Linked DNA regions of Mus musculus: regions 1 and 2 are each reported to be linked to region 3. The links are microRNA targets in miRTarBase. Many come from high-throughput screens and were not tested one by one. Region 3 holds a microRNA gene; each other region holds the end of a gene's coding sequence.

Region 1 (10,425 bases), not on the chromosome of region 3:
TTGACTGACCTGGAGAAAAAACAAGTTCCCTCCATTAAGAATGTCCGTCTGTCTGACATAAAGAACCTGCAAACATATTAACCCTGGTGGTTTTTATTATTAAGCACAGAATGATTGTGAGGTAACCACAAGATGAATATCCAAAGTTCTTCCTTTGATGGTGGCATTGAACAGATGCACAACGTAATTGTCTGTGGCCCTGGGTGTTCAAGTTGGAATGCATAAATGACCATGGACAGTGACTTTTACTCTGATGGCATCATGGACAGTGTATTGTTCCAGCATAGCTTTAGCATTATGGTAGTCTACCGTGTTAAAATTAATTTAGTTCTGAAAACATTCCATTCGGTCACAATTATTCGAACAGTGAAGGCTTTTGTCAAGTAAATGGTCCTTGTGTGTTTTATCCTGACTTCTCCTTTACCCAACGGCCCTCCACTATGTTCATGGTTCTTGGAATGCCTACAAGCTGCTTGCACTAACCCTGAGGTGAGTGTACATCTCAGATGTTCCTGTCTCCCTCATCAGTAATGTCATGATATTCATGGGGGTCGGGGAATATTCAACCACTCTCTGGGTATTAGAGGTGACAGAATCTTTGGAGGTGTGGGTCCATGAGGAGGTAAAATTGGCTTCTTCAGAGTCATCCTCAAGGTGATGGTCTAAGTGAACATACATAGGGAGGATGTATAGAAAGGAGGAACCATGGCAATCAGACACTGGAGGATTAAAGCAGACATGGGGAATGTATTGGGAAAAAAACAGAGAAGGGTTTCATGAGGTAGACTTGAAAGGGTTGAGTTAACAACTGGTTATTGAACATAGGAGGCAATGGTGAGTTCCCCCTACCCCTGGATAATTTAAAGATGAATTCCTAAAACAAAAGCCAGGTGGTAAGGTGGGGCAGCAAGAAACCATAGGAGAATGTGGCACTGAGTGCTAAACTAGAAGAGGAGGGACTTCAGGCTCAACCTGCAGATAGGAGACTCCAGAGGTAAGTTTATCTATCTAGAAGCAGAAACCATGGAAACAGGGTCTCCGGCTTACAAAAATGTAAGAAACACAGTAGCCTGGGGGACTGACTGTCTTCTGGTGACTGGTTATGACAAAGCCGTCAGTAGACAGACAAGAGAAAGAAAAATAGGCCCTGACATCTAATAGGTTTCCTTAAACTTAATGGCTACTTATGTGTGTAGCTATTGAAGAGACATTGCAGCTGAAAACACGGAAATTCTGTTACAATGAAACATCAGACCAAATGAGAAAGAATAGTCAGGGGGAGACACACAAAAGAAAAGCTAATTTTAGCTTAGGCCTGCTAGGATGGCAGACACCCTGGCCTGACATGCATCAATTGCAGATGGCAGATCACTTCCCATCACAATGTGTCAGGCAGGCTGTGAGAAGCTGTGAACGGTGACAGACACACGTAGACTGTCACAGCCCCAGCTGTCAGACAGAGGGCAGTCTTTCTTCCTGTGAGTGAAGACTGGAATCTGAGTACCAGCCTGTTGTCTGGAGCCTCATACCTTTTCCAAGAGTCACTGCTGGTGACCTCATCTTGACCTTTGCTGTCTACACACATGAACATTCCTCTACATGTCTCCTAATAGCTTTGATCCACTTCCAGTTGTTTTCTCTCTGTGTGTGTATCTTATTGGTGACTGGATATTCACTCTCCCAGATTTCTGCTCTGGCCATCTCCCCTACCACCATGGACTAAACCCCAGGATCTGTAAGCCCCAATACGTAATCCTATCTGAAAGTTGCCTTGCTTCTCATATTTTATCACAACAACAGAAAAGTAACTAATTCAGGGGGTCAGCCAGCTGACTGCATTGACACACTTCTATCAGAGAAGGACAGGTCCTGTGTCTCACTGAAGATTCCCTCACTGAAAGAAGATGGACCTTCCTTCTGTTCAGAATTTCCCTTGAACCCACTCTCTGTAGTCTTAAATGACAAATACTTTCTTCACTGCTACAATGTTTCATGGCATGTTACTTAAGTCAGGAAACTCACGTTGCAGCAATTGAAATGACCCAATGGAATGATGTCATAAGTCAGTGGATTTATTGTGTTCTTCATTATCCTGGATTAGATGGCATGATACAATAGTAAAGTGGCCTTTTGAAAATTTAATGCCAGTGCCATTAAATGGTAGTATAAGACTGTGTGTGGATGATGTCATGTTCTAGGACAAAGCTTATGCTCTGAGGCCCCATGTAATACAAGATGCTATTTCTCCCATAGTGAAGATGCACAGATGTGGAACAAAGAGGTCAAAAATGAAGATATTCCTCTCATTATTATGCCATATGCTCAGACAGTCTATATTTTTCTCCAAGTTTCTACAACTCTGATAGCTATACTGCCTTAGAGGATGGGTTTCAAAGAAAATAAAGCATCCTTCTCAGAGTACAACTCTGTCTTCCCATTAGATGCTGAAAAAATTGGGCCATTTAGTATCCTTGTACCAATGAACAAGAAAGCAGTGAAGAAGCTGATGGACTGTCTGACTATGCTAAGAGGATCATATAACAATTTCTACCTGAGGGGTGGTAAGAAAATGGAACTCTTACAGTTCAAAGAGATTCTCTATGGAAACAAGACATGGGTAACCAAATACATCTCAATATATGCATACCTGATAGTGGTATAGGAGTGTGAAAATGAAGGTTGTATATCTCCCCAGAGCAGGAACTAGTGCCAGGTAAAAGGTGTGCTGAGAAAAAGATCAGTGCTTGTCTTGTTTTCACAGATCATGACATGTTCATAACTGGTAAAAACACATCAGGCACTGGCTGCAAAGCTACCTCAAGAACTTGGTTATAAGCCAATGACCCAGCCACTCGGTATGTTCAACACTTTTAGTAGATGGGTGGTTTCTGTCAACCTACCTACCAGCTCCCTGCCTGTGGCTCTGCTTCAGCATCTGATACAGATTCTGGCCCTCGAACTGTACCTCTGCTTCTGTCTTCATGCTCCATCTTGCTTCTGTATCCTCTCATACTTGGGTTAGACGGCATTCCTACAACCAGCCCTTTATTCCCATCATACCTAGAGAGGCTCCATTTTCTGCATTGAACACTGACTTACACATTTTGATGTCCTACAGACAATATAATCAGCACAGCCTTCTACTGGAAAGCCTCTTCGTTGGAGTGTGGCTCTACCTGAAAGGGGACCCTGTTGCCCTCTGTCCTCTGACAGGGTGACTCACTCATCATTATTGGACATAAAACATTGGCACATGTTGCTGCTTACTACCTACCGTTGATATCATCTTTTCTGTTTCTACAAAGAAACCCAGGAGAGAGACAAGGTTTTTAAAGCTCATAGTTTTAGAAGCTCATTGCGTACAACTGAGTGGATTTCAGTGGTTGGGGCCATAACCACAGATAGTTCTACATTGTGGGAGGAACATGTATAAGGGAGGAGCTACATGTCTTAACAAGAAACAGAAATGACTCCCAAGCCAGGATCAACCTTTTATAGCCACTGTTTTCATGAAAATCACTGCAGGCCACCAGCATTCCCTTCTCAGTGTTTCCAGACTTCATCTAGAGGTAAATCATGTGCAAGAAGGGTAAGCAATAGAAACCTATATACATTATACATATACATACATATATATGTGTGTGTATTGTATATATGTATCTATATATAGTGTGTATTGTATATATGTATCTAGTGTGTACTAGATACGTATGTATGTATGTATGTATGTATGTATGTATGCATGTATGTATGTATATACATATATGTATGTATACTAGAATTATGTGGTCTTAACCATAGGCTATGGTCCAATTAGTCCACCAATGGCTGGATATGAATGTAGAGTCCAAGAACCCATCCAGAAATTACTCAATCTACAAGGCTTAATGTCTCAGCTAGTTTTCAGTAGACACTGGAGATCCAAAGAAGAGGTTTCTAGTGCCATTGAAGGAATATACTTGCTACCAAGGTAAAAGCAATCAGGCAACCATCCAAAGCTTCTTTCTTCCATGTCCTTATATAGGCTTTCAGTAGAAGGGGTGGTCCAGATTATAGATGTATCCTCCTGCCTCAAGATCTGGATGAGAAGTGGATCTTCCTACTTCAAATTAAGTTTTTGTTAAAAACCCTCAATTGTGTGCCTCTTATTTTTGAATGTTAGTTCCAGATATAGGCAAGTTGACAACCAAACATAGCCATCACAATCCTGGAGATCGGAGTTCTCATTCTTGGTTAGTAGCACAGCAACTATAACAGGGAAGCAGTCCTGTAGGCTGAACAGCCATTGGCTAGGTCTCAGCGCTCTACAGTAATCCCCAGGCTATATTCTCTGTGGTAGGTTCACATCTTGCCACAGATAACAAGGCAGCAAACCACCATACCCTTCATGAACTGAGTCTTCTCTTATCTGCACTTTTCAGCAGGTTTTTTGTAACAATGCTACGCATGTGCATCTGCAAACAAAAACTAAGCCAGGATCTTCCCAGATCCTCTGAGACACCATGGCTAAACATACCTAGGCATTTCAAGTTGTGATTATTCTTTATTTTTAGGTCTCTATAGAATCTGTATCTAGAAGAGTTGGTACCCTCTCAAGATACCACCTGTGTACAACACTGTAGGATATGGGTAATGGCAATGTGGGGTTCTCCAATTCGGCCCTGATGTAAAGAATGAATCACTTCTCTCTTGGTGATCTTTACCTAACTTGTCACATCCTAGTGTCATCTGAGAGGGAAGCCATGGGTAAGAAATTGCCTAGATCAGATTGGACTATGGGCGTGTCTTTGTGAATTGACGTAAAAGGACCAAGTTCCCTGGGGTAGAATTATCCCTGGCAGGTCGCCCTGACTGCATAAGAAAGCTAACTAAACAGTGAGTGTATGTCTAAAGAAGTAGCATTTTTTCATGGTTCCTGCCTCTAGCTTCCTGTCTCAAGTTCTTACCTTGGCTTTCCTATATGATAGATTCTAACCTGGAAGTATAATATCAACAAACACTTTCTTCCCCAAGTTGCTTTTGATCATGGTGTTGGTACAGCAATGAAAACTAAATAGAACAGAAACTGGTACCGGGGTAGGGTAGCGTTAAAGTGGACCTTGCCTATTTTTTTTTTTTTTTTTTTTTTTTTTTTGCCAGAGGGTTCTGAAAATGTTTAGAACTTTGTGGTAGAAAAACCATTGAGTTCTCAGAGCTTAATGAACTATTGTTGTAGGCATTTACAAGAGAAGAATTATGAGAGGATACAGACAATGGAGTCCTGGCTTCTGAGAATACAGTGGGAAGCAGAAGCACTACTAGGACCATTTGTGTGATATTTTAAGTTAAAAAAAAATCTCTGATTCATGGTCACAAAATATAGAAGAATCAGCTGTGATTGCTAAGCGATCAGCACCCTTGAGTGAACTTTTCTCTGGTTCACTTCAACTTTAAATGCACAGAAGCTGTGGTCCAAGGTGGCCAAAACTACAACTCATGCTGGCAGCTCAATCTGGCAATATAGGAGAGTCTCCCACATAGTATTGGTTGAAAAAGCATGAAAGTGTCAGGACATAAAGGATCATGAAAGAAGATGAAATTTTGCACTATGCAGAATGATTATAGAGTCCATGTGGAGAGGCCAGGAGATGCCTGTGGTGAAGGTGTAGCCTTAGTTGCAATGGAGGGTCACAAGACATTGGATGACTGCTAATACCAGAGTCAGGTGTGAAGTGATGGAGCCAGTTTAAAGCTGCAATGCAAGTGGTGTGTGCTGCGGATAAGAGGTGGAGAAGGGACCTGTCCAGACACTTTGTAGTACAGAAGGTCATAAGTGAGTCCCAGATGTCAGATATTGAGCTAAAGTGTTTGGATTTTTCATTGTTGGAGTTTAACTTAACTTTGATCATACTTATTATGCCTCATTTCTTTTATTTTATAAATGAAAAAAATGCAAGTTTCTATTTTACAGGAATCCACAGGTGAGAGAATTTGGATTTTAAGACTGGGACTGAAGAAGTTGGACTGTAATTTATATTAGAATATTAACATGAGATATTACATACAGAGAATGAACAGCTAGAGCCTAAAGTGGTGTGTTTGTGTGTCAAGTTGACAATAAACAGAGCATCCTAATTAGCTTTGCTTGTCAACTGGACACAAGCCTAGAATCACTGAGAGGAAAGCTTGACTTAAGAAATGCCTAGATCAGATTGGCCCTCAAAAATTTCTATGAGGGACTTTCATGATTATTAATCAAGAAAATTTAGGAAGAGTCAACCAACTGCGTGTGTCACCACTTCTAGCCAGGTGGTCCTGGGCTATTAAAAAAAAAAAAAAAAAAAAAAAAAAAAAAAAAAGCTTGCTAAGCATAGACCCATAGACTAGAGGTGAAAAATAGCATTCCTCCATTGTTCTTGCTTCCCAGTTCCTGCCTTGAATTCTTGCCCTGTGATGGATTATGACCAAGAAGTGTAAGGCCAAATAAACCCCTTTCTTTTGCAAGTTTTTGTTATGATGAGTGTAACAGCCACTTGATTCAAGGACTGAATGAACTATTATGTTATATTGCTAGCATGGACAATTTGTTGTCTGGGGTTTGCCAACTTACTTTGTAGTTGTGACTTCTGATCCATCTGTGCTGAGAGCTGGGTTTGGAATTGTGAGATCTTACCTAATTTTCTCTGCATCGTTTGTGACTGTAAAACCGAATGTCACAATGATTAGATTACGATATACCTGTGGCAGAGGCTACAGAGATGGTTCGGTTGTTATGAGCACGTGCTGATCTCTGTATTATTTCTCTGTTCCTGTAATAAAACAGCATGGCCAAGGCAACTTAGAGAAGAAAGGGTTTATGTGCCTTACAGTTCCAGAGGGATAATAGCACAGGGTGGCATAACATCAGAAAGCTGGAGCAACAACCAAGACCTCAAATCTCAAAATGCAAGCAGAAAGCAGAGAAAGAGCAACTGAAGAGAACATATGGATTTTAAAATCTCAAAGCAGTCACAAGATGTCTCCACTTTGGCCACACCTCATAAAGAAAGAAGAAAAGTAATGGGGTGAGCAAGCAAGGGGATGTCAGTGTGGCCTTGTGTAAGGTGAGTTGCATGGCTGGCCTTGAGAATAACCTATGAGGCAATCATTACTATCAGCATAGTACAAATGAAGTCACCCCACCCTGAGGAAATCAAGGACCAGCTGAAAGTCTTTATTCAGTGACTCAGCAGGAATCTAAATACAGGAAATCTAATGTCAAAGTTCTTATTCTTGCCATTACATCATGCCACTAGAGAAAGCAGAAACGTGAGAAGAAAAATAAAAAAATACTATTTAAAATCATGTCAGGGCATTTTCGTTCGACCTGAGAGTACAGTTTTAACTTCTGAGTTTGAACAATTTGCTAAAGACCTTTTCCATATAACACAATCTATTGCATAAGTGAAGACTAAATGACTTATTCTTAATGTTGAATGTCGTAGTTCTATTAAATTACTTCACATTTTCAAGCTCGAAGTTCAATTATAGATGAGTGATAAGTTATAGCATATTTAAGGTATGCAATTTAATTGTAAACTCAAATATATTACAATGCATGGAAAGCATTATAGCATCAGGTAAAAATGATAATGAACTATGTTTACTCCATGAATGACACATAGCCACTGTCAACACCAAGCAACATGAGTCTGTGGGTCAGGGTCAATGACAACACAGCCTCCTATTTCAAATTAGTGGAGGCACTTCTGGGTTATCCTCAAAGTCTGGATCTTCCTCACTGGGTTCATCTCGGGGTTGAGATTCCATTCTTTTGGGTCTGTGTCTTTTCTCTTGTACTATGGTAGACACATCAGGGCAAGAATGCTTGCTGGGGTCAACTTCCAATCTTTCTATCTGCTTTTTTCTACAACAGAACAAGACAAGTAGGAAATAATGTTACATTGTTTAAAATTAAGCTTCAAAGAAAGTAAACCCATATATTCATTCAGTGAATGCTTCGCGCATGGTGTCTATATGGCATAGAGATTGCAAAGAAACACTGTCCTTGGTTTCAATAATTATAATGAATTCTAGAAATAAGATTTTTACCCATGGAAGAAAAACTAGCAATCAGGGCTGTGCTACTATTATATAGGCAGCAGGAGATGCAGAATTTGAGAAGCTCTCTTAACTAGGAAATTAAAAAGCAGAGTCACAGGCCAGGATCAACAGAACTCTAGCCAAGTGTAAGTCCTGAGCTTTGTTATGGTGGAGATATTTAGACAAGTTCAGGTACACAATAAAGCTCAGCCCACAGCTTCCGTTAGCACAGGTACTTGCTCCTACTGCCCATGCCCAATACTTCCAGAGGTGGTATGATTGCAGAGGACCAGTGAGAGACTCCATTGTCAAAAACTCCCAGTGTTTCGATGAACTCTGTTCATGACACACATTCCTGTGTTCCTTTAACAGCAATTTTTATTCGTTGCACCTAGACTCCAGACCAGTGACCTACACATTTCTACCCCCCCCCCCGCCCTCGCCCAATGATTCCTCATGTATCCAGACATATTGTTTTGTAATCACTGCACAATTCATTCATTGATCCACTTAACAGACACAGGTCAAATGCCTCTCTGATCCTGGAACCACAGTAGACTGAGGACAGACACCGTGCATTATAAAATGCCAGATTTCTCGTCATAGTGCAGTACAATGTGAGAACATGGAATTTATTAAAGCATCGTGGAAATCTATCTCTATCATACTGGTCTGTTTTCAGAGAATGCTGACATCCTCAAGGCTGAAATTTTGCATTTTTAAATGTTCTCCCTTGACATCCAGTTGTATTTGAATAAATGATTATTTTGTAAGTGAAAAAAGTATTATCCTTCTTAGGAGAAATAATGGATTTATATAAGAAATTGTCTTGGCTTTATGGAGGAGTTACAAAGTGACATCCTTAGGTGAAATGTGTCCAGCAGATACTGTCTGTTGGGATGTGGAAAATCTATTCTTGGGAATATAGTGCTTGAAATCTCCTCCTTATTCTTAGACTCTGCTCAGCCCTTCTGGACATTTGAACTAATTCCTCTCAGTGTTTTGAATAATATCCATGGACTTGTTGAGGAAGAATACCAAGCATATAAATACTATGCATTCCGTAGTCCAGCCTGTGGGCTGTAAATAAACTCTGTATGCTGGGGTGCAGGAACGTAGGCAAGAATGGACTTGCCTGTGCAAACAAGTGACCCAGGTAGCATCTGAAGAAGGGGAAACCAGTACTCAGATAAACAGCGATTGTAGAAAGATGAGACCTAGCTACACCTTCCCCTCAGAATTAACTATAGGTATATAAAGACTTGAAAGACTGGGGCTGGCTTCCCTCCATCTCTTTAATGACATGTAACTTCCTTGAAAGTCAGGATTCACACTGTGCCAGCAGCAGGTATGGACAGCATACTGTGTGCTTTCCTCCTGGGAGGAGAATTTTAGCATGTTCTAGACCCCCAGTGAAAATTTCAAGTATGGAGGTTCTAATGAGGAAAAGACTCTTAAAAGCTTGCCCCTACATCTTCCGCACAAACCCAGCAGAGGGTCCCAAGGTCCTCAGAGAACTCTCCGTGCCACAGGTGCCCTAGCACACCCAGGATCTTGAAATCACTGGTGAGTGGAAGCAACATCTGTTCCAAAAAATCCTGGAGCGTCCTGTGCCAGCAGGAACAGGGACAAAGGAACCCTGCCCAACCAGAGGCTGGGATTCCGTCTGGTGGCTCCAGCCCCACAAATCTTGGGCACGAACTTGGCAGACCGTAGCACACCCAGGATCTTAGAATCAATGAGACCAGCCTACACAAATGAGCACATGGGTGGCAAAAGCAACAGAGTTTTTTGGACAGGGTCCCTTCTGGCCTTCATCTGCAGCCAGGAGGCAGAGCTAAGACCCAGACCTCTGGGCACCTTCCTTGCCAGAAAAGAGTTGGCCTCCAGGGAGGGCTCTGACCCCTGGAGTCAGGAGGTGGATCTGAGCTCCAGACTTCTGTGTACCTTCCCTGCAAGAGGAGAGCTTGCCTACAGAGAGTGCTCTGACCACTGGGACTCAGGAGAGAGTTGGACTCCCGGGAGTGCTGACAGAGGCTAACAGAATCACGGGAGGAACAAGCTCCAGCCAGAGACAGCTAAAACATCTAACACCAGAGATTACCAGATGTCGAAAGTCAAATGTAAGAATCTTACTAACTGAAACCAAGACCACTGGGTGTCATCAGAACCCAGTATGCCCTCCACAGCCAGTCATGCATACCCCAACACACCCGAAAAGCAAGACACAGATTTAAAATCATATCTCATGATGCTGGTAGAGGATTTTAAAGGCATGAATAGCTCACGTAAAGAAATACAGGAGAACACTGATAAAGGAGGAGTCCTTAAAGAATTACAAGAAAACACTGCTAAACAGATAGA
Region 2 (10,425 bases), not on the chromosome of region 3:
TTCCAGACAGACCCACCATCTCTGAAATAGAGTGGAGATACTGCCAGAAGCAGACCTGACTGTATCAAAAAGAGCCTTTTATTAACAAAGCATCTTTAAATGTCATATTCTATAGCTCTCCGAGGTTTTTGAAGACAATTTATCTCAGTATATCCGCACTGCTTTTTTTCTAGCTATGTACTATCTGTTTAACCTAGGAAGAATTTCTGTAATTAACTAAACTAGTATTTAACATTTAGCATTTCTTAATTATCCCAAACAGTTTGTAATAGCAACTTTCAAGGACTAGAACTTCACATTGCATTTTAAAAAGGAATTGCATAGGAACAATACCTTAAGTAAAAGTTGAAGCATATATACATAGTATGCTGTAATCTTAAATTTGCATCAATGTACAAAATCTATACCAATATAAGATTTTTGCCTAAGAGAAGCACCATAGTTTAAGAGTAGATTTAATAATCTACCCTTTTAACCTATTACCCCTAAATCCCCCCCCCCCCCGTTTTCCTTTTCATACCTTCTTCCCCCTCTTCCCCTAATGTAGGATAAGAAAGAGAGAAGTCCCCGGGTCTAATATCCGAGACCTTGTTTCCTTCCTGATAAAGACCATTAATAACTTGTAACCAATCCCACTTTACCAATGATCATCACCCAACGAACAACCAACTCCCACCCCCTATGTTTTGGAAAATGGGGCATCTTTCTCTTAAAACTGCTTCCTGCTCTCTGGGGGCTTCATTTTCCTTTTGGGGGTGCTCAAGAAAATGGCTATATTGTCCAGTCTAGTCTCTGTATGCTGTGAAAGTGCAGACTTAAATGAAGTCCTGACTGGGACAGTCTGCGAGGCTGGACCAATTGGGGTCATCTGGTGTCAGCAGCTTTCTTTGAGGCTGTCCTGGAAAGCAAATTTAGATGAAACAGCTATTAAAGCAGTCTAAGGTTGGATCAAACAGGATGCTGGAATAAACATGTTTCAGCATTTCAGCCTTCTTCTCAGCATCTTCCAGGATGAATCCTGTCAGGGCCACTCCAACTCACTGACTCACTGGTCTCTTTGTTCTGTAAACATGTAACCTTTCACAAATAATATACATTTTGCATTAACACATGTCTGGAATGTGCAATGTGCACATATCAGCTACATAGGATTCTCTCTCTCTTTTTTTGTATGAGCAGGTGGATAGCATATGTTTTCTTTATCAGTTGGTTTGGACTGTATAGCCAAATATGACATAAATTTTCATCCATGCCATAATAAAGAATGGTATGATGAGTTCCGGGGACTTTTGTAGCCAACAAAATTTATTGACTATGCATAGCTGAAATTATGGACGGGGACTTTTTTTTTTTTTTTTTTTTTTTTTTTTTGTCTCAGCTTGTTTTAGAGCTGTGACCATGTAGTGGGACCAGTAATACAAGTTACCTGTTTTTTGTTTTTTTGTTTTTTTTTTAAATTTATTTCTTCCCATCTAAGGTCAAGAGATTCAGAGGGTCTCCCCAGTCAAATCTAATTTTTATTAATTTGGAAAGAATCTATAGCTTTTTTTTTCTCCTGTTGAAACAAATGCAAAACATCTTCCCCTATGTAACATACTCCCTTTCTTCTATTCTGAAGTTAGGATTTTTATAGGCTGATCTAACTCAGCAGTTCTTTTCAAAATCTCTCAGCAGCTGTGCTACCTGTCTCATTAATGTTTTGAAAAGTGAAGTCAATAAATCACTATTTAATCTATCTCTGGGAGATCCCCTGCCCCTTCTGCTCTATGAGCATTTTCTTTAAAGTCCTGTCAGACAGTCGATTGTTCTGTAAGATTATAAGATATAACTGTAACATCCCCTATGCCACAGTGTCTGTAATATTGTTGTTTTCTAATGCACACATATGTTGAACGCATCATCAGCTTAAACCAGTAAGGCATTTTTCAAGATAGCCATCATATTTGAATAATGTTTCATCTCAGAATCGCCCTTTTCAGAATCCAAGGCGAAACCCGGATTGGACCTCTGAATGTGACTCTATGGTATTATGCACATTTAGAAAAAAAATCTCCAAAGTCTGCAAAATGAAACACATAAGCTATAGTGTGACATTGCTCTAGGGTGACATTGAACAGAATCTGTAGTTCTGATTCAGCAAATAGACCTTCGTCTGGTAATTGATCCTTGACAATATTAATATAATATCCCATCTAGCCGATGTGGTTCACAGCGGGAGCTTTTTTATTCAGCATCTGTACGGGCTGCTGTTCTGTGATCTCCTTAAGCCTTTGTGGATTTAAGCGCACCTGGCGCTCTGGGTTCCAGATTGGCACTTTGTGAAGATTCTTTATGCTGTTAAATGAATCCTCTAATCTCTATGATATGTCCTTTAATTTACGAATCTATTGCTCAGTCCTTTCTTTATCTAAGTCTGTTTTATTCTGATCTTTCTTAAAGAGGATATATAGAACTACAGTCATTGCTGCACATAAAGTTATTTTGTATGTTGACAGTCAAGATAAAATACGGGGTTCAAATGCCCTCTTTTACACTGTTTACCATTTCTAAACATGGAGAACATTCACTTTTTAAATCTCTCTAACTTTCTTTGGAGACTTTTTTTCTTGCTGTCTATGGAGATTTTATTATTTAAACTCTTTTTTTTTTTTTTTTTTTACTCTCTATGTTTAGTTTGCTTACTTTCTTTAGCGTCTATGTACCTTTATCTATTATTTCTTTCCTTTCCTTTTTCAGATTTTTTCATTCTCTCTCTTTTCTCTGGAGACTTAAAATATCTATGTGCATTTGTTTATCCCTCTTTTACCGCCTTTAAAACTTAGTATCTTTTTCTGCATTTAATTTTCTCTAAATTCTTTCTGTCTTCATGTGGCTTATTCCTCTTAATTTTACTTTACACCCTCTTCGTTGACTTTTATTATTTCCAAATTACTTCATTTTCGTCTATAATATTTTAGACTTAGTTTCTTTCCCTCTTTGGCATTAAAGCATAATTTTAAACACTTTTTACCTGATCAGAAGTTCTCATATGCTCAGATTTCTTCTGTGTGTGTTCTTCTTCTGCAGTTTAGCTCAGACATCTCCCTGTAGCTGGCCCCACACCCTCCTTCCCGTTCTTCTCCCACAGGGAAGAAGAGGCCGAAACAGAAGCGGACACCTGTCTACTGTTCTGGGCCCACATGCCATTGCTACACTGAGCTGAGCCTGTCCTCTGACCTCTGTCCACTCCGGGAATGTGGCTCTGGGCTGCAGTTAATAGGGTAGTGTATGCAAGCTTCATTGCTCCGTGAAAGCTCTTAATCCCAGTCCTGAGCAGCTACAGGCTTTTAACATATGGACCTGAACTGGACTGCAGTTTTCCTTCTGGCTGCCTAGCTACATCCAGCTCACTTTGTCCCTTCTCCGGAGCTTGCCACGCTTGGGAGGACCACAGCTACTGTGCCCTTAGGCTCACATAGAAGAGATGGCTTTTCTACTCAGCAAGGGATTCTTAACCGGTTCCCTTCCACACTGCCTCCCTGGGGATTCCTGCTCTTTCCTAGCCCGCCTCTTGATCCATGTGTGTGGGGGTGGGGTAGGGGATGTGGGGTAGGGGGTGTGAGGTAGGGGTGTGAGACAAGGGGGTGGGGTATAGGGGAGGTAGGTGGTTAGGGGGTAGAGGGAGTGGGGGGTGGGGGGTTGGAGGGAGAACCATCCTGTCCTCCACCTGGGCGTTCTCAGGCTCTAAACCTGGATTCTAAGAGCCCGTGTGTCGGATGCCACACATTACCACAAGCTTTTTTCTCCCGCACCTCAGTTCCTAGTTTATTTAGTTATTAATAATGCCTAGGCCAAAAGCTTTGGCTTGTTCCATGATTAGCTCCAATAACTAAATGTAGCAGGATTCCCCCCCAATTAATTTAAATATTAATACAACAAGAAGCCTGTGATTGGACAGGGAAAAGGCAGGCGGAGCTAAGAGTTTTCAAAGGCAAAGAGGACAGAGGAAGTAGGAAGATGGAGGAAGAGCAAGATGATACAGATTCCAAGTGGCTTTAGATAGCCACAAGTAGCTATGAGTATCTTATAAGGGATGGATAATTACAGGACAGTTTGTCTTATCTAGGTGGGCAATTTATATCTATATTAGTTGGCTCTGAGTTCATTGTGTGGGCATTTTGTGGGTGAGAATTTACTGATATAAATCTGACTTATAAATTCCAAGCCTCAAGAGTTTTGATTTTACCGGGTTAGTGGGCTTTGGGACCACTGACCACAGGGGTGGATGGCTGAGAATGTGAGCAGACCCCACAGCAAGAGAGCCATGACTGGTCGCTGCTGGGGCTAGCCTAGAGGCAGAGGTGGTGAGACTGCCGGGCAGTGAGTAGCTGGGTATAGCATGGGATGGTGCCACTCTTTAAATATTTCCCACAACAGCTAAATAACCCATTTATTCTATTCTATCCCTGCTACAAGGTTAATTACCTCTCCTCAGTTTCATGCATTTGACTTCCTCTGTCCAGGTGGGATCTTCCCACATCTGACTCTTTCCCAGAGTCTCTCTCTCTTTCTGGTGGATGTCCCACTTTCTATTCTACTCTTTCCTAAAGGTCATGGGCCTTTTATTGACAGATGATGCATAAATACAGTACACAAGAGATTATCCCTACACCCATGGATAAGCCTTGGAAAACTGAGACCTTCTCCCAACATGTGCTTGAAGATGCTCCTGAATTTGGATGAAGTGCTGAGAATAATACAGAAAATGAAGTCCCCCCCGCTCTTTTGAGACTATTGCCCGAGGAATTTGAGGCAGGCAAATCTGTTGTGCAGGCCATGGATTTGGATTTGGACCTAACTCTTTACTGGGAGCCTGCCACACACACTCCAGTGAAGACTGCTTGACAGGCTGAGAAGCCTGAAAGCACTCACGAGGCAAAGAGTTTCACAGAAACTCACCTCTTGGAGTTTTGGACTTCTCATTAACCTTTATACTCATACCCTATTCCCATGTTAGTCTGGTGTATGGATCCACGTGCTCTCTTTTAGTATTATTTTATTATAAGTGCCTTTTAAGATTGAATTCTGACATAGCCAGAGCCTTCGCCAGTGTTCCTAGGTTCCAGAAGCCTATGAGCTTGGAATCCGGTTGGAATGCAGTAAGGAAGTTACCTATGCAGTAACTAATTAAGCATTACAAAAGATGGAGACAAAGCAGCTCAAGGCTGGTCTGCAGAGTGTTTACCATGAAAGAGCCAGGTAATCCCACTGAGATAGAAATCTTCAGTACAGGCTACATTGCATATTAGAAGCAAGTTGGTGAATTCTTCTGACAAATGGAGATTCTCCACAGATACTTAAAAGTTACAAGAAATTATCAGGGCCCAGGAAATAGGGGGGTTGTGGTATTGCAGTATTCATGAGAAGGTCTACTAGAGTAGAACCCCTGGTGGTGGATTTAACAATAGACTAGCTTTACACCTGGCTCCCTTCTTAGTGGCAGCGGCCTGGTCCCCATCTTCTTTTGATGTATATTTTCCTTTTGTATTGTGTCACTTGGTGGATTGTGTCTCGTCTGGTTTCTCAATATTCTTCTATATAAAAAGGGCAGCGGCCTGGTCCCCATCTTCTTTTGATGTATATTTTCCTTTTGTATTGTGTCACTTGGTGGATTGTGTCTCGTCTGGTTTCTCAATATTCTTCTATATAAAAAGTTTGATGCTCGACTTGACAAACTACATTCAGATTCTACACAATCTCGTGTGTTGGTCTGTCTGTCATTCGCCTGACTCTTTGCCCACCTTCGACTAGAGACCCTTTCCACACAGACAAAGGGACCCAGAGGGTCTGCGGCAGGGGCCCTACAGATGAGGGAGCAGGACAAAGCCTAAATTATGCTGTTTTAAGATTTCCTTTCCCAATACAATTAATAACCTCTTCATCTTAGCCTCAGGCAGACTCTTCAGAAAAGGGCAAAAAAGAGCCACACTATTCACCAAAATATCACAAGAACAGTCTCTAGTGCACATACTAAAATTCTCTGAAACCTCTTGAGCTCCCATGGTTCAAATCACCCTCAGCATCATTGTCTCCCATGCTTCTACTAGTATGGGCCACTAAGTCCTGAGGAGAACAATGGCTTCCCTTTGGATCTGGCCTGAAAGGGGCAGAGCAGTTAACTGGGGGAAAGTTCAGGGGTCGTCCCTCCTGGAAGGGAGGGATGTCCTAACATGACTTTCTGTGGGCCAAAGTTATGTCCTTGTCCCTAGCCAAGAGTCAATATTTATCCGGTGAGGAGGGTGTCTTGGGTCTACTGAAAAACAGTCCTTATTTTGAAGAAGTTCTTATTATGAGAAAACGAATCCAAGAATGATAACATTTTTAATCTGCCCAGGTATTCTCATAATTGCCACAATGTCAAATAAATGTGCAATTATAGAATCAAGTTTTTAGAACTTAAAGCAACTGCCTATTGAAATCCTGAGTATGGTATGGTACACATACGTTAATTTTCCTAATTCTGCAAAATGAAACATATTCATTTGCCAAATTTAATTTCTTTGGATACTTTTTGGGTTACTCCCTGCAGGTAATGGAGTTTGGTTATATAAAGGACAAATAGGACATTTTCTTATAATTTCTTTGGCTTGTTGCCAAGTGATAGAAAAATCCCCCTCAATACCTTTAGTCTTATTATGGTGTTTCTTATGAAAATTTGAGGTTTCTAGCACATTTCCCATCAACAGGTGAACAATTTCATCATTATCTTGTGGAATCTGACATGTTATATACAATGGATGATTTCCCTATAATTAATTTTTGTAGTTGAATAAACAGTGAAGTTAATTTTGGTCATACTGAGTAAGTTCAGTAGTTTCTATATCCGAAACATTTTTTGCATATTGCGGGCAGTAACTACATGAAAAGATTCAAGAAAATCTAATAATTCCTTAAGAATGTCATAGAACTCTGATTTTTGAACTGGAAAAAAAAAACCCAAAACATATGGACTTTGAATGACTTTGATTATGTTTTTTCTGAATTATAACTAGCCATTTCCAACTTATTGACATTAGTATAAAATGTAAGGGCTCCAGGAATTGATGTTCTCTTTACAATATGGGGTGAATCCAATTACTTTGTATAAACTGAAGTCATTTGGTTTTAGGATAGTTGTTAAATTCTCCTATCAGTTGCTACAAGCTCTTTGCCAATCTTTATTGATTACCCATAATGATATAATATCAGCATTAGTATGATGCCCTACAATTCCTGTTGGGCCTGTTCCTCACAATTGCCAATGTTTCCTTTTATAATTAAATCAGAATCCTTTTCTATATACGTTTAATTCTTTTATTTATATGCTAAGAAGATCCATTCTAAAATACTCTCTTCCCTTTGCATAATGAGTACAGTAGGAGAATAAGTTGAGGGCAAAAATACCAAAATAAAGCTCCTATGAAGTCTCCTGAAGACTCTGCGTGTTGGGGATACTTTTAACAATCATCAGCCAAGAGCCCACCTGACAGCAGAAACTAAAGATTCCATGCAGTGTGGATTCTCTGGTGGAAGACAAGATGTGATCTCTGACTATAGCCCCTACAGCAAATATGGCCGATTTAAGGTCTCTATATAGTGTGGACCCTCTGGTGCATATGGAAATATGAGGCCTGACTGAAACCTTTCCCACACTGCTGACACGTGTAGGGTTTCTCTCCTGTGTGGACCCTCTGGTGAGAACTCAGCCCCACGCTCCATCTGAATTCCTTCCCACACTCCTCACACTTGAACGGCTTCTCCCCAGTGTGAATTCTCTGATGGACTTGGAGACTGGACTTCTGGCTGAAGGCTTTCCCACACGTGTCGCATTTGTAGGGCTTCTCCCCTGTGTGAACCCTCTGGTGGGCCTGGAGGTTTGAGGTCTTGCTGAACTGCTTCTGGCAAACATTGCATTTGAATGGTTTTTCACCGGTGTGGACACTGTGATGGGCCTGCAGACTGGAGGCATGACTGAAGCCTTTCCCACACTCCCCACATTTATACGGTTTCTTTCCTGTGTGCACACTCTGGTGACTATGAAGGCTCAAGCTCCAGGGGAAGCGCTTCCCACACACTTCACATCTATACGGTTTTTCCCCAGTGTGAATTCTTTGGTGATCTAGAAAATGTGAGCTCCGACTGAAGTTCTTCCCACAGACACTGCAGTGAAATGGCTTCTCTCCGGTATGGACCCTCTGGTGGCTTTGGAAGCTTGAGGCTGAACTGAAACCCTTCCCACACTCTTCACATTTATATGGCTTCTCTCCTGTGTGGACCCGCTGATGGATGTCTAGGTTGCCACTTAAGCTGAAGCGCTTCCCACACTCATTACACTCATAAGGTTTCTCCTCAGTGTGGACTCTCTGGTGGGTGTGGAGGTTCGAGCTACAGCTGAAGCGCTTGCCACAGTCTCCACACTTATATGGCTTCTCTCCTGTGTGAATTCTCTCGTGGGCCTGGAGGTGTGCCCACTGTGTGAAGCCCTTCCCACACACCTCACACTTGTAAGGTTTCTCTCCAGTGTGCACTCGGCGGTGGATGTTGAGATCCGAGCTGCGGCTGAAGCCCTTCCCACAGCTGTCGCACCTGTAGGGCTTCTCCCCTGTGTGCACTCTCTGGTGAGTCTGAAGTGCTGAGCTCTGACGGAAACCTTTGCCACACTCATGACACCAGTAGCGCTTTCTTCCTGGATGAACACTTGGTTGAATGGGGACACTGGGGCTATGCCTGGTGTCCTTGTGAGTACTATGCACAGGGGACTTCTTTCCTAAGAGGGTCTGTTGATGAAGTTCCAGACTAGGGCTGTCACTGAAGACTTCTTGGCCCCTGCTGCACTGGTAGGCCTTCTGTTCTCTATAAACACAATGCTGGGTGAGGAGCGTCATGGGAAAAATGACTTGATCACAGTCACCGCTGCTGGGGACTTTATCTCTTTTATGCAGTATATTGTGATCGTGGTGGGAAATGCAACCCAGAATGTTAACACCTGGAGCCAACAGCTGAGACTTCGTTTTCACCAGAGTCTGAGGACAGTGTTTCTCATGGTTCCATCTCTCACTAAAGTGTGCCTTACTCCAAGAACTCTGAGCCCTCCCAGAGAGAAATTCCTGATTGTCACTACTGCTGGAATGATTGCTTGGGAGATTCTCCAGACAGCCGTCATCCTCGGGGGCCTGAGAAGGCTGCTCTGCTCCCCAGTGGCAGGAGGAGTGGCACTGCTCCAGGAGGTGAGGACCCTTTCCTGGAGTGTTTATTCCATCTTCTGGAGCTCTGGCTAGTTTGTTGACATCATGGCTGGTCATTTGCCAACATGGAAGCTGCCCCAATGGAAGGCACCTTATTCCTGTTGTGTCAAGAGGCGCCATCTTATTTGGACTCTGGCATCCTGAAAGAATAGAGAACAGAAGATGATATCAGCAAGGATGAGGACATCAAAGTTGGCCAGTCCTCATTTCTTTCTGGAAATATTAACTAGAGATCAGTGTCAAAGGTGAATGTCTGAAAGCTCTAAGGAACAAAGAGCTAAAACCAAGAACAATCAACACTTGGCCATGGCGGGAAATTTGGGGTGAGCCTGGGAGTGAAGGCTCAAGGCTACCTTAGCCCGTGCTGAGCACCTGACTCGAAGAGCCTATGTGTAGCTGTGCAGAAGGATAATGGGAAGGAAGCACTAACTCTGTGGTAACAAGTGTGGTGGTGCTCAGACACCAGCGGAGGCAGGTGCAGAATGGAGAGAGTGAGGGTGAGACACATGAAAAGCAGGGTCTGTGAGGGCTCCCCAGCAGACAAATGCAGAGAGGGAGGAAGGGTGGGGAAGAGAGAGAGAGAGAGAGAGTGAGAGTGAGAGAGAGAGAGAGACAGAGACAAACACTCATACACAGAAAGACAGAGGAAGAGAGAGAGAGAGACAGACAAAGACAGAGAGACAGACAGACACAAACACACATATATACAGTGAGACAGAGAGAGGGAGAGACAGACAGAGACAGACAGATAGACACAAACCTATATACATAAAGAGAGACAGGGAGAGGGAGACAGACACAGACAGACAAAGACAGAGAGACAGACAGACATAAACATACATACAGACACAAACACACATATATACGGAGAGACAGAGAGAGACAGACAGACAAAAACACACATACACACAGAGATAGAGAGGGAGAGGCAGAGAGACAGAGACAGGAATTCCACCAGGGAAGAGCACTGTGTGGCCAGAGAGATGCAAAGGACAACACCTGAGACACACATATCGAAGCAGGAAAAGAAATAGAGATGAGCAGGGTTGGAGTGCAAGGCCCCAGGAGCACGCAGTTTGTCAGACACAGTCGACAAAGCTGCTACCCTAGTGCTTAGGAAACTTAGATAGGAGAATCAAATTTCTGGGCAAGCCTAGGCTAT
Region 3 (10,425 bases):
TGCTCCATGTCTTCATGAGCTGTTTCTGGAGAGTCAAGCCCTCCTATCCCTGCCCCTCCCACCCTTGCCCTTGCCCATCCCAACCCTCTCTTCACACTCCATCCTTTCTGACCCCATGCTCCATGTTCTCCAGTCCTGCCTCCTACTATCCACCCTCTCCCTTTTAGAACAAACCACAAAGTCAGATAATCTTTTCTTCTCTTTATTCATGGGGCAAAAGCAGGTATGAGTTGGGAAAGCAATGGAAGGACCTCTCCTTCCTGTGGCAGTGAGCAGTGGGTCTGGTCAGAGCACTCTTGGCTCCTTGGCACAGTACTCTGGGTATCTGGGGCTTCACCAGTGTCTCTTGGGGGCTCCCTCCTTTATGGAAGGTCTCTGTCCCCTGCACTGTCCATATGTCCATTTGGGGAGGGAAAAGGGAGCCCCACTTGGTTGCTACCACCCTTTCTTGGGTCCTCTGAGTCTCAGGGACCTTCAGGGTGGATCAGTCCATCTGGTAAGTCACACTGGTACGTCGAATGCTCCTTGGAGCAGTTCTGCCCAGGTAAGATCAGAGTTCAGGGTCAGATGAGGTGTCAATGGAGCCGGACCAGACCGGTAGTGGGTGGGTGGGTTGTGGGGGGGGGGGTGGACTTGCTTGCAGGGTGGGCTGGGGTTGTGGAAAGCATGGAACCACAGCACCTTGGGAGACTGGGAGGGAGTAGGGGCGTGTCCAGGGGAGTCGGAGCACCGGTGTAGAGGTAGAAGTCCGTGGAGCACCCAAGGTCAGTGTCCCAGGATGCACAGGTGGCCGCCTGCCACTCAGGGGGTGGTGGTGGGGTCACTGGCATCTGCTTGCTTGGCTGCACCTGCTGTATCTGCTCTGCATCTGGCCTGGGGTGACGGGGTCACTGTTGCTCATCACTGCTCTCTCCTCATTGGTCTCACTCCCTTTTGTGGGCCTGGGGCCCGGACAGTTAGGACAGTTAGGGTTACACAGTCTTGGCTGGTTCTGGGACGCTGATAGTTGGCTAGTTCTTTAGCACAGATGATGTTGCTGGTTGATGAAGTTGTGGCCCTTCACAAGTGGGTTCCCCTTGGGTTAGGAGTAGCAAGAGGGTGTGCTGGATCTGAGCGAAGCTGGCCGAGGCACAAGGGAAAATGACAGTGACTTGGTGTGTTTTCAGTCAAGTTCATCATCTGAGTCTGATAGCTCTTCTAGCCTTGCCTGTTCCCTGGCTGGGGAAGGCAGCGCCATTCTGGAGGCCATGGCCAGGAATCGTGTGAGGGCCTGGGCCACCTGATCTCTGCTAAGCAGAGTAAGGCGGCCATCGGTGCCCAGGGTGTAGAGTAGCCGGTTGTTGAGGAAATCTAGGACCTCTGGGTCCAAAAGATTTCGTGGTCTGAAGGTGACCGCTTCCTGGTCGCCAAACAGGTCCTCTTGCACGTCGTTGTCCTGCGCGTCCTGCGAGGTGTCTTGCAGGCCGTCATGCAGGCCACACTGACGGTAACGTTGCAGGTCGTCTTGCAGGGCTTCTCGCAAGACGACATCTTCATCCCCAACGACGTGCAGTTCCAAGTACCGGTGCTGGTAAGGGTCAGGAAAGACGTCATCCTCAGGGTTGACTCTGACCCCAAAGAACTCACACAGGGTCAACCAGAACCCAGGGGTGAAGCGCATCCCCCGTGGAGGCTGGGAATGCAGAGCATTCCGATGCCAGCACCTTGGGCCCAGGAAAAGCTCAGCCAGCTCTCGAGCTGGGAGGGTGTTGGCACCCACTAGAGGGGGCATCTGGCTGAGCAACTGAGCGATGGCTGTGGCCATGCCACTACTCGCAATGAGGGTCGAGTCCAGGATGAGTCGGAGTGTGTGCCGGTGCTGAGGCCTGGCCACTTCCAAATTAGGGGCAGGCACTGGGGAGAGGGGCTGCCTTGCTCTCAACATCACCAGGACAGCTGCCACACCCAGGAGACTCTTCCAGTAGAGCAGGCCACGGAAGAAGTTTAGGACAACGGCCCGGATCTGGGCCACACTGAAGTGAGCCAGTAAGCCATTGAGGATATGGTCCATCGGGATGGCAGCCAGTAGCTCCCGCACCATGCTGGGCACCTCCTCATCTTCTTCCTCCTCATCCTCTTCTTCCTCATCTTCCTCCTCCTCTTCTTCCTCCTCTTCCTCCTCCTCCTCTTCTTCCTCCTCTTCTTCCTCCTCTTCCTCTTCCTCCTCCTCTTCCTCCTCATCCTCTTCTTCCTCCTCTTCCTCCTCTCCTTCTTCCTCCTCCTCTCCCTCCTCCTCCCCTTCTTCTTCTTCACCATCTTCCTCCTCCTCCCCTTCTTCTTCTTCACCATCTTCCTCCTCCTCCCCTTCTTCTTCTTCACCATCTTCCTCCTCCTCCCCTTCTTCTTCTTCATCATCTTCCTCCTCCTCCTCTTCTTCTTCACCATCTTCCTCCTCCTCCCCTTCTTCTTCTTCACCATCTTCCTCCTCCTCCCCTTCTTCTTCTTCACCATCTTCCTCCTCCTCTTCTTCATCATCCTCTTTATCCTCAGTCTCAGAGGATCTGTCAAAGTACCTTAGATTTGCCCTAATGGACATAAGCAGCAGTGGGCGCAGAAACCTTGCTCTGAAGCCTCTCTGGTTCCAACATCTGCGGAAGAGTGCTTGTGTGTCACCTTCAGCTGGCATCTCCATAACACCAAAATTGAAGTGTGAGAAGAAGAAGACCCAATGCCCGGGGAGAAGTACGGTGAGCCTGTCATTATTCAGAGAGGCTAGATCCTCTGTGTTGAGAAGGATCATGATGGGCTCCTCGGTGTTCTCCAGGTAGCGGCACCACACCATGAAGGCAGCCCGGATTGGAAGGATCCTCATCTCCACTCGAGGGTACTCCACCTCCATTGTAGAGAGGGGTCTTGAATAGAAAGCACAGGTAGATTTCTTGCCAGTTTCGTCGTCGGTTTGGACCAGGGAGGCAGACAGGAATGACCCAGTGATGTCTGTTTCCAAGTAGAATGGGTTCTGAGGCTTAGGGTGATAGAGAACGGGCGACTTGCGGAAAGCCCTCTTCAGGGATTCCAAGGCCTCCTGCTCCTCTTCTCCCCAGTAGTAGGGCTCTGAACTCAGCAGTTGTCTCACTAGGGGTGCTGCGATGACAGCGAAGTTCTCCACGAAGTGGCGATAGGGATAGACAAGGTCAATCACACTTTGAAGACACCTCCTGCTGCCAGGGACAGGGCACCCCACGATGAGGTTCATAAGGTTCTTGTTCAGTTTCACCCCTTTGGGGGATATGTTGAAGCCCAAGATTTCAGCGGTCTGGCGATGGAACTGAGTTTTGTCCAGTGAACAGTAGATGTTGTGATACCGAAAGCGGACCAGGACTTGGCGGACATGCTGGGAGTGTTCCTCCTGGCTCATTGAGTAGACCAGGACCTCTCTGCCATGGCAAATCACAAACAACCCTAGGATGTCTTTTAGGATGAAGTGAACAATGTTGTTCCCTTCGTCAGAGTATGAGTTCATTGTGAAGGGCCGGTAGCATCTCATCTGGTGAAGGCCGAAACCGAACGATGCTCTCCAAGTGTCTTCCGTGTGTGTGACCGTGTGCCTCATCTCACTTTCCTTAATCCCAAGCAGCTCCAGTTTTGTGAACCATGCCGCTCCATGTAGCTGGTCGAATAGCTCTGGTACCATCTGCGTGTAGTCTTGTCTGTCAGTCAGCATGTCATACAGTATCCAGTATTCCTCTTGCTCCCTGGCTTTCTCTTGCTGCCTGGCTTTCTCTTGCATCCTGGCGCTCACAGGTTCCAAAGTCTCTCGGGCCCCAGACTCGTAAAAGACGCCGCTTTGATCACTGTCTCCAGCCTGCTGAAGCTCAGAGGGCTCTGATTCAGAAAGATCATCGGATCCGTCTGAGCTTGGCTGGTCGGAAGTCTCATCATCTGCCTCCCTCGGGTTAAACACGTCGGCCAGGTCTGAGTATGTGTGTGGCAATCCGGGCAGTAGGCTTATGCTGTATGTCTCTAGTGCGATGCATGGTGGAGGTGGGGTGAAGCAATTCCGCAGACAGTAGGGAGAGTGGAAGGTACACCGGCCTCTCATCCAGTCGACTTCAGGGGCATGGGTTCGGAGCCACTTCATGCCTAAGACGATGGAGAAGTTGGGCGAAGGTAAGATGTCAAATTCGATGTACTCATAATGCTTCTGGTGGACACATACCAGGGGCTCGGTGCACAGCCAGACGGGTTCATTGCCAATTGGGATGCCATCCACACCTTGGATTATCTGTGGATAAGGCTTCTCATAGAGTTCCACATAGTGTTCCTGGGCAAACCTCTCATCCATGTAGTTCCCTTCTGCTCCTGAGTCCACCAGGGCCCGCACTGCGACACTGTGGTAGGGGTCCACTCTCACCAAGAGCAGTAAGAAGAGGTGATCGCGATCAATGTCTGGGTGGAACTCATTGGGCAGCCAGCTGCTTACCCTCCACTTCTCTGGGGCGGGAGCATCCATCCAGGCTACGCTTCTTGGGCGCGACTCAGGTGGCAGCCTGAGTAATGCTCTTCTCTCTGCCAGCTTTTCTTCAAGTTGCAGGACAAGTACAATCAGGTTGTCTAGGGAATTCGGCTGAGGGATCCGGAACAGATAGTGCCTGATCTCTTCGTTGAGCCCCTGGCACAGGTGGGCCTGCAGGACTTCATCTGGCCAGCCTAAGGTGGGTATCAGACCCCGGAACTCATTGATGTAATCGGCCGCACAGCGGTTCCCCTGCCTGATGTTGAACATGGCGTCTTCCGCCACACGCAGGGTCTGCCGATACTCAAACTTTTCTGACATGGCCTCCAGGAAGGCTGAGAAGTTGTTTATCACTGGGCTGTTCTGCTCTACGAGGTCGTTGGCCCATTCCAAGGCTAGGTCAGTCAGGTGGCGGATGACGAATTTCACCCGCAGCTCATCATTGTATAGCATACTTGGGTAGTTCTGCATTGTCATCTGGCAGAGCACGACAAACTCATGGTAGTCTCTGCGATCTCCAGAGAAGGGCCTGAGGGAGGGCAGGCGACCTTCGTTGATAGCCTGCATCATGAGCCTTTCTGCCACTCTCTGTTGTTCTTTTAGGTCTTGCATCCGGAGGAACAGCGAGATGACGTTCCCCATGGTGGCCACGACTTCTTCTGGAGAGTTCTTGGGCTGACCTTCCTCTTCACCACCTTCCTCTTCCTCCTCTTCCTCGTCATCTCCCAGGTCAGTATCATCTTGGTCTGACTGGGTCTCGGATGAGTTGATTGTTTCATCCATGCTATAATCGGATGCCTCACTGAGTGGTTCCGACCCTTCCTGGTTTGAAATATCACTTGACTGGTTTGAACTGTCGCTTGACTCCTGGTTCGAATTATCGCTTAACTCCTGGTTTGAATTATCACTTAACTCCGGGTTTGAATCATAGCTTGACTCCTTTTGTGAACCATCGCTGGACTCCTGGTTTGAACCACCGCTTGACTCCAGGTTGGAAACATCGCTCGACTCTGGGTTTGAACCAAAGCTCGACTCATGGTTTGAACCATTACTTAATTCGTGGTTTGAACCATCACTCGACTCCTGGTTCGAACCATCATCACTTGATTCCTCCATGTCTTGGGGTAGATCGTTAGATGATGCCTCACAGGGGTCGCTGGATGGCTCCTCCACTTCCCGGAGTAGATCAGTGGGTAGCTCTTGCATTTCCTGGTAGGGGCCACTGGATGGCTCCTCCACTTCCCGGAGTAGATCAGTGGGTAGCTCTTGCATTTCCTGGTAGGGGCCACTGGATGGCTCCTCCACTTCCCGGAGTAGATCAGTGGGTAGCTCTTGCATTTCCTGGTAGGGGCCACTGGATGGCTCCTCCACTTCCCGGAGTAGATCAGTGGGTAGCTCTTGCATTTCCTGGTAGGGGCCACTGGATGGCTCCTCCACTTCCCGGAGTAGATCAGTGGGTAGCTCTTGCATTTCCTGGTGGGGGCCACTGGATGGCTCCTCCACTTCTTGGAGTAGATCAGTGGGCAGCTCTTGCATTTCCTGGTGGGGGCCACTGGATGGCTCCTCCACTTCTTGGAGTAGATTAGTGGGCAGCTCTTGCATTTCCTTGAGGGGGCCACTGGGTGGCTCCTTTTCTTCCTGGGCTGGGCCACTATCTGAGCCCGCCTGGGCCTCAACCTGGGCCTCAACCTGGGCTTCAGCCTGAGCCTCCGCCTGGGCCTCCACCTGGGTCTCCGCCTGGGCCTCCGCCTGGGCCCCTGCCTGGGCCCCCGCCTGGGCTCCACTGCTGCCTGGTGTCTCTTCAACGGTGTTGGATGAGCCCTCGGAGGACTCCATTTGTTTTGATGATGGATTCTTAAGCTCCATCATCGTCTCAAATGAGTCTTCAGAGGGTTCTATCATGTCGTCGGTTGGAAAGGAGTGTGCTCTGAAGACTGGTAAGATTGTGATGTGTGTGGTCAGAGACCGCAACTGTGGAGACCAAAACCTAGGGACAGAGGGATAAAAGACAGGAGAAAATGTAGCAATTTAGGTTCTCAAGATGGCAGGGTCAGATTCTATCTCAAGGACAAAGCAGATGCCAAGTTACTAGAATCAGAGAGAAAATGGAGAAATTCCTCCTGCATTCAGTTCAGCCTCCTTTTCTGGTTACTTGGGGCACCTCCAGGGGAAAGACCGTCACCCCCTGACCTGCCTTCCAGGCGGAGTCTGACTACCCCACCTGCCTACTTCCTCTAGTGGAATGAGAAATTCACAGCCCATAAATTTTGTGGAGCAACTGGCCTGGAGCGTCCTCTGTGGCGAGCTAGCACCTGGCAGGGCACACTTCTGGCCCGCTTTGCCCTGGCCAGGTTCCCTTCCCATTTGTAGTCACCCAAAAGTCATAAAGGTCACATCTCAATGCCACTCAAAGCGGCTGCTGGCAGGCTTGGTGGTCTAGAGCCAGCCCAGTGAGCTTGGTTGGAGGCGGGAATCTGCAGGGAGATGCCTGCTATTTCACAAACTGGGGAAAGAGGAGAAATTGGGCACTTGGCCACTATCCTGCCAGTTGGGTCAACAGCCAAAAATAGCTCTTATTTCCTCCTCTAGGCTCCAAGCCGAAATAAGTGAGAGAGAGCCATGGCTTTTGGTTTTAATTTTGCTCCCCATAAATGTTTATAAAATGCCTACTATGTGCTGAAAACATGCACTTTCATGGCTTCATCCTAGGTCACACTTTGTGCATATGCAGGATAAGAGGGGGGTGGGGGAGGGATAGTATCATTTCTCTTGTTCGGTTTGATCTCTGTCCAAAGCCACGTTTTCTCCAGCTCTGAGCTGAGTCGGAGCTTTCTAAACACCCTTTCCCGGGCTTTCAAAAAAACTGTTCTCCCAGGATTGCCTGGTCTGCAGGGCTCCTGCAGCTTTAAACATCTGGCCTCAATTCTGCTCATGCAAACATTTCTGCACGTCTCACAAATGCTATCTTTCCAAGTTTCTCCTCTGCTTCGGCAGGAGCAGGGTTTTCGTTCTCAAAAGTGCCCCCCCCCCCTTTTCTGTCACTGTTGATTTCGTCTGGTACAGGGGTATATCTAACAGAGGTATGAAGTTGGGTGAAAGGGGGGGCATGGGACCTTTGAAATCTGATTGTTCCGTAATTTTTGAAAATCTAGCCATGGAGGGTTTAGTGCACGGAAATTGAATTTAAAGGGATGTATTGGTTTGCAAAACAAATTAAGCTAGTTATTCAATAGCTCAGCCATATAGCTATTGTCTTTATGAATTCTGCACCTTCTGTTACTTCTCAATTTTCTTTTTTAAGGTCACTGGGCTGACCTATCCAAAAACAGAAACACACACACATACACACACAAAACCAAATAAACAGAAATCTCCCATGTTGTCATTCATGTAAAACTCCCGTTGGCCATCCTCCAAACCTTGCAGCAGGATGCTTTTGGGTCTGCAGTTTCTCAGAATTAGACATCTCCTTGTTAGCATGACACTTAAATTCGATCATGCAACCCCTCTGATTAAAGCCTCTCACTGTTTATTTACTGTCGGCAATATTAAATCCAAACCTTTTATATAAACATGTCTGACATGTAAACTTACCAAAAAAAAAAAAAAAAAAAAAAAAAAACTCCTGGCTGAAATTGAAAGGCCTTAGCATAATGTCCACGTTGGGCTTCTCATTCCTAGAACTGGAGATCACAGGTCCTGAGCCTGCTGTACAGACCATCAGCTCAGAAACATGCACAGCATATTACATAAATCAACTTATTTCCTCTTTCAGGAAAAGTCGTCTATTATTAAAATATAAAATTTGACTAATTCATCCCCAAGTTCATCTGCGGGACATAAAAATCTCAGCAGGTCTCCACCTAAAAATTGCTCATGGTTTCAATTTTTAAATTTGCAGCAATCCGATTTTAAAGCTAAATGATACCCGTTCTAAATAAAATGCCTATACTTAAAATATTACAGACAAATTTGATCATGTAAGGGATTAGATATTTCTGCTTTCCAGCCCTCAACCAAAAATCTCTTGTCCTAAAAATTTTAATATGCCTGGATATCAGAATAAACCTTTAGTTGAGATAAACAATTTTCATCTTATGATTTTCCTATTTAACGCACACATATTCACATACACAGACATTTCTTTTCTTTACCATGAAGTTCCAGTTGCTTAGCATAAATTATTTTTAAACCATGTGATTTAATCAACATAATCAATACAAAAACCCACAGTTTCACAGGCCACAATAAAACATCTTTGACAAAGTCCAAAGCTATTGTATGGTAACAAATGTCGAGCTTCCTGCAACATGCATGTACTTATGTTCTGCTTAACGCCTCACAAAGTCTCTGCCTCACCTATGGAGACCAAGTCTTAAAGTATGATCATAAAGCCATACGTTTCTCAGCAGACTGAGACTATCCAACATGCAAAGCTCATGATATCACTCTCCTAAAAATCTCATCGTGGCTGGCATCCAAATTCTTCAGCATGGCATGAGAGGACTCCTCACACCCCTCACCACCGTGTCGAACCTGACACGCTATGTAAATGTCATTCAACCTCTCATCTGGAGGTCACCCCATTTCTCTGCACAAAAAGAAAAAAGTCCCACTGGATGCCCTGGTACTGAGGGGGCCAGTGGACAGTCACCCACGCAGTAAACAGCACACCAAATCCACATACCTTAGCATAAAAACACGCTTCAACATCATCAGATTCCTTTGAACACAAAACTCTTCACCATTTCACTCCTTAAAATCCTTCCTTGGCCAAACTCCAAGCATCCCGCAGCACCCCCCGCCCCCATGCAAAAGGATCAGAAATGATATCTCACCCCTCACTCAGGATGCAATAGTGCCTTCAGTTTGCACATGGGTCAAATCTCCTAAATATATTACAGTGTCCACTCCCTTCTCTGCTGAATTCACAGGCTGTAAGGAGTCACTCCCAGATTTAAAACGTTGCAAAGTTTCTATGTAGCATGAAGCTCCAAATTCTTAACAGACAGTACAGGATCTTATCATGTCACGTACCAAAAAAAAAAAAAAAAAAAAAAAGAAAGAAAGAAAGAAAGAAAGAAAGAAAAAGAAAAAAAAAAAAAGAAACCAACAAATCTCCCATCACACTTTGAAGCCGTTTGTTGGCTCAAGTCCAAACTTACTCAAGTGATATTATAATCTGATACGTCATCCCTTAGAATAAAATTCGCACGTCTTAGCACAGTTCATTAAATTTGAGCTTGTGACCCCACCTTAAAAACTCGGCAATGTCTCTTAATTGTGCAGGACATAAAAAGTCTAGATTCTTGGCATGCGGCGAGAATTTGATTTCATAACAGAGCTATGTTATATCTATCAAACACAGAAAACTCACCATGTCACTCCGTTAGAATTGGATAAATCAAATTTTTAAACATGTGCAAAAACCTCATCACGTCTGAGCCTCTAAATAAATTCCAAACTTCTCTGCATAGTCCCCAACTCGGCCATGTAACTCCTCTAATTGAAACCTTTCCTTGGTGTCTACATTAATCATAGCTCCTTGGCTTGCCCTGAGAGTCAAACTTTGGCATTCTCTCCACATAGAAAGTCAGAGTGTTTGGGCACGATCTTAAATGTGTGCCTGTTCACTTTCCTAGTTATGATTTCTCGGTGTTTCTTGTTGCTTGTAATAATAAAGTCCAAAGCTGTTAGCCATAAAATATGTTTTATCATTCATTCTACAAGCTTATCTCCCACAAGCAAGCAATCTCACCATTAAGTTTTTTTTTTTTTTTAAAGCCTTTTGGCAGAAGCCCAAAGCCCTTAGTGTGATAGAAATTTTTGATTTCTCAAAATAAAGTCCAGATTTCTACCCCAGAAACTTAAATTGATTCACAAAACTCCCACTTAAAATCTTCTCCTACATTTCCAGTAACACTGAAACA

Evidence for each region. The annotated mature microRNA mmu-miR-434-3p reads UUUGAACCAUCACUCGACUCCU and lies in region 3 at 5,559-5,580, shown strand. An mRNA with a match to its seed (bases 2 to 7 or 8) in the 3' UTR can be bound and repressed. Matches are read on the target gene's strand: a 7mer-m8 pairs with bases 2 to 8, a 7mer-A1 pairs with bases 2 to 7 and ends in A, and an 8mer does both.
Region 1: the mRNA of Lrrc6 is a reported target of mmu-miR-434-3p. Seed matches in the 3' UTR shown: 7mer-A1 at 7,372-7,378.
Region 2: the mRNA of Zfp93 is a reported target of mmu-miR-434-3p. Seed matches in the 3' UTR shown: 7mer-A1 at 6,955-6,961.

What each region holds. Positions count from the first base shown.
Region 1 is chr15:66,372,687-66,383,111 of GRCm38, forward strand. Lrrc6 (leucine rich repeat containing 6 (testis)) reads right to left here. Exons shown (of 12, transcript NM_019457.2): 12 at 7,172-7,885. The coding sequence ends at 7,708. Among named protein-coding and RNA genes, the nearest start is that of Gm41340, 24 kb to the left of the region's middle.
Region 2 is chr7:24,273,712-24,284,136 of GRCm38, reverse strand. It overlaps Zfp93 (zinc finger protein 93), which reads right to left. Exons shown (of 4, transcript NM_009567.4): 4 at 6,343-9,403. The coding sequence ends at 7,608. It overlaps Gm51471 (a long non-coding RNA gene), which reads left to right. Exons shown (of 2, transcript XR_003946726.1): 2 at 4,612-5,735. Among named protein-coding and RNA genes, the nearest start is that of Gm51471, 8.2 kb to the left of the region's middle.
Region 3 is chr12:109,589,007-109,599,431 of GRCm38, forward strand. It overlaps Mir434 (microRNA 434), which reads left to right and starts at 5,500; the gene lies at 5,500-5,593. It overlaps Rtl1 (retrotransposon Gaglike 1), which reads right to left. Exons shown (of 2, transcript NM_184109.2): 2 at 187-6,482. The coding sequence starts at 6,397. The coding sequence ends at 1,163. 6430411K18Rik (RIKEN cDNA 6430411K18 gen) reads left to right here and starts at 2,531. Exons shown (of 1, transcript NR_002848.3): 1 at 2,531-3,845. Mir127 (microRNA 127) reads left to right here and starts at 3,840; the gene lies at 3,840-3,909. It also overlaps Mir432, Mir3071, Mir136, Mir431 and Mir433.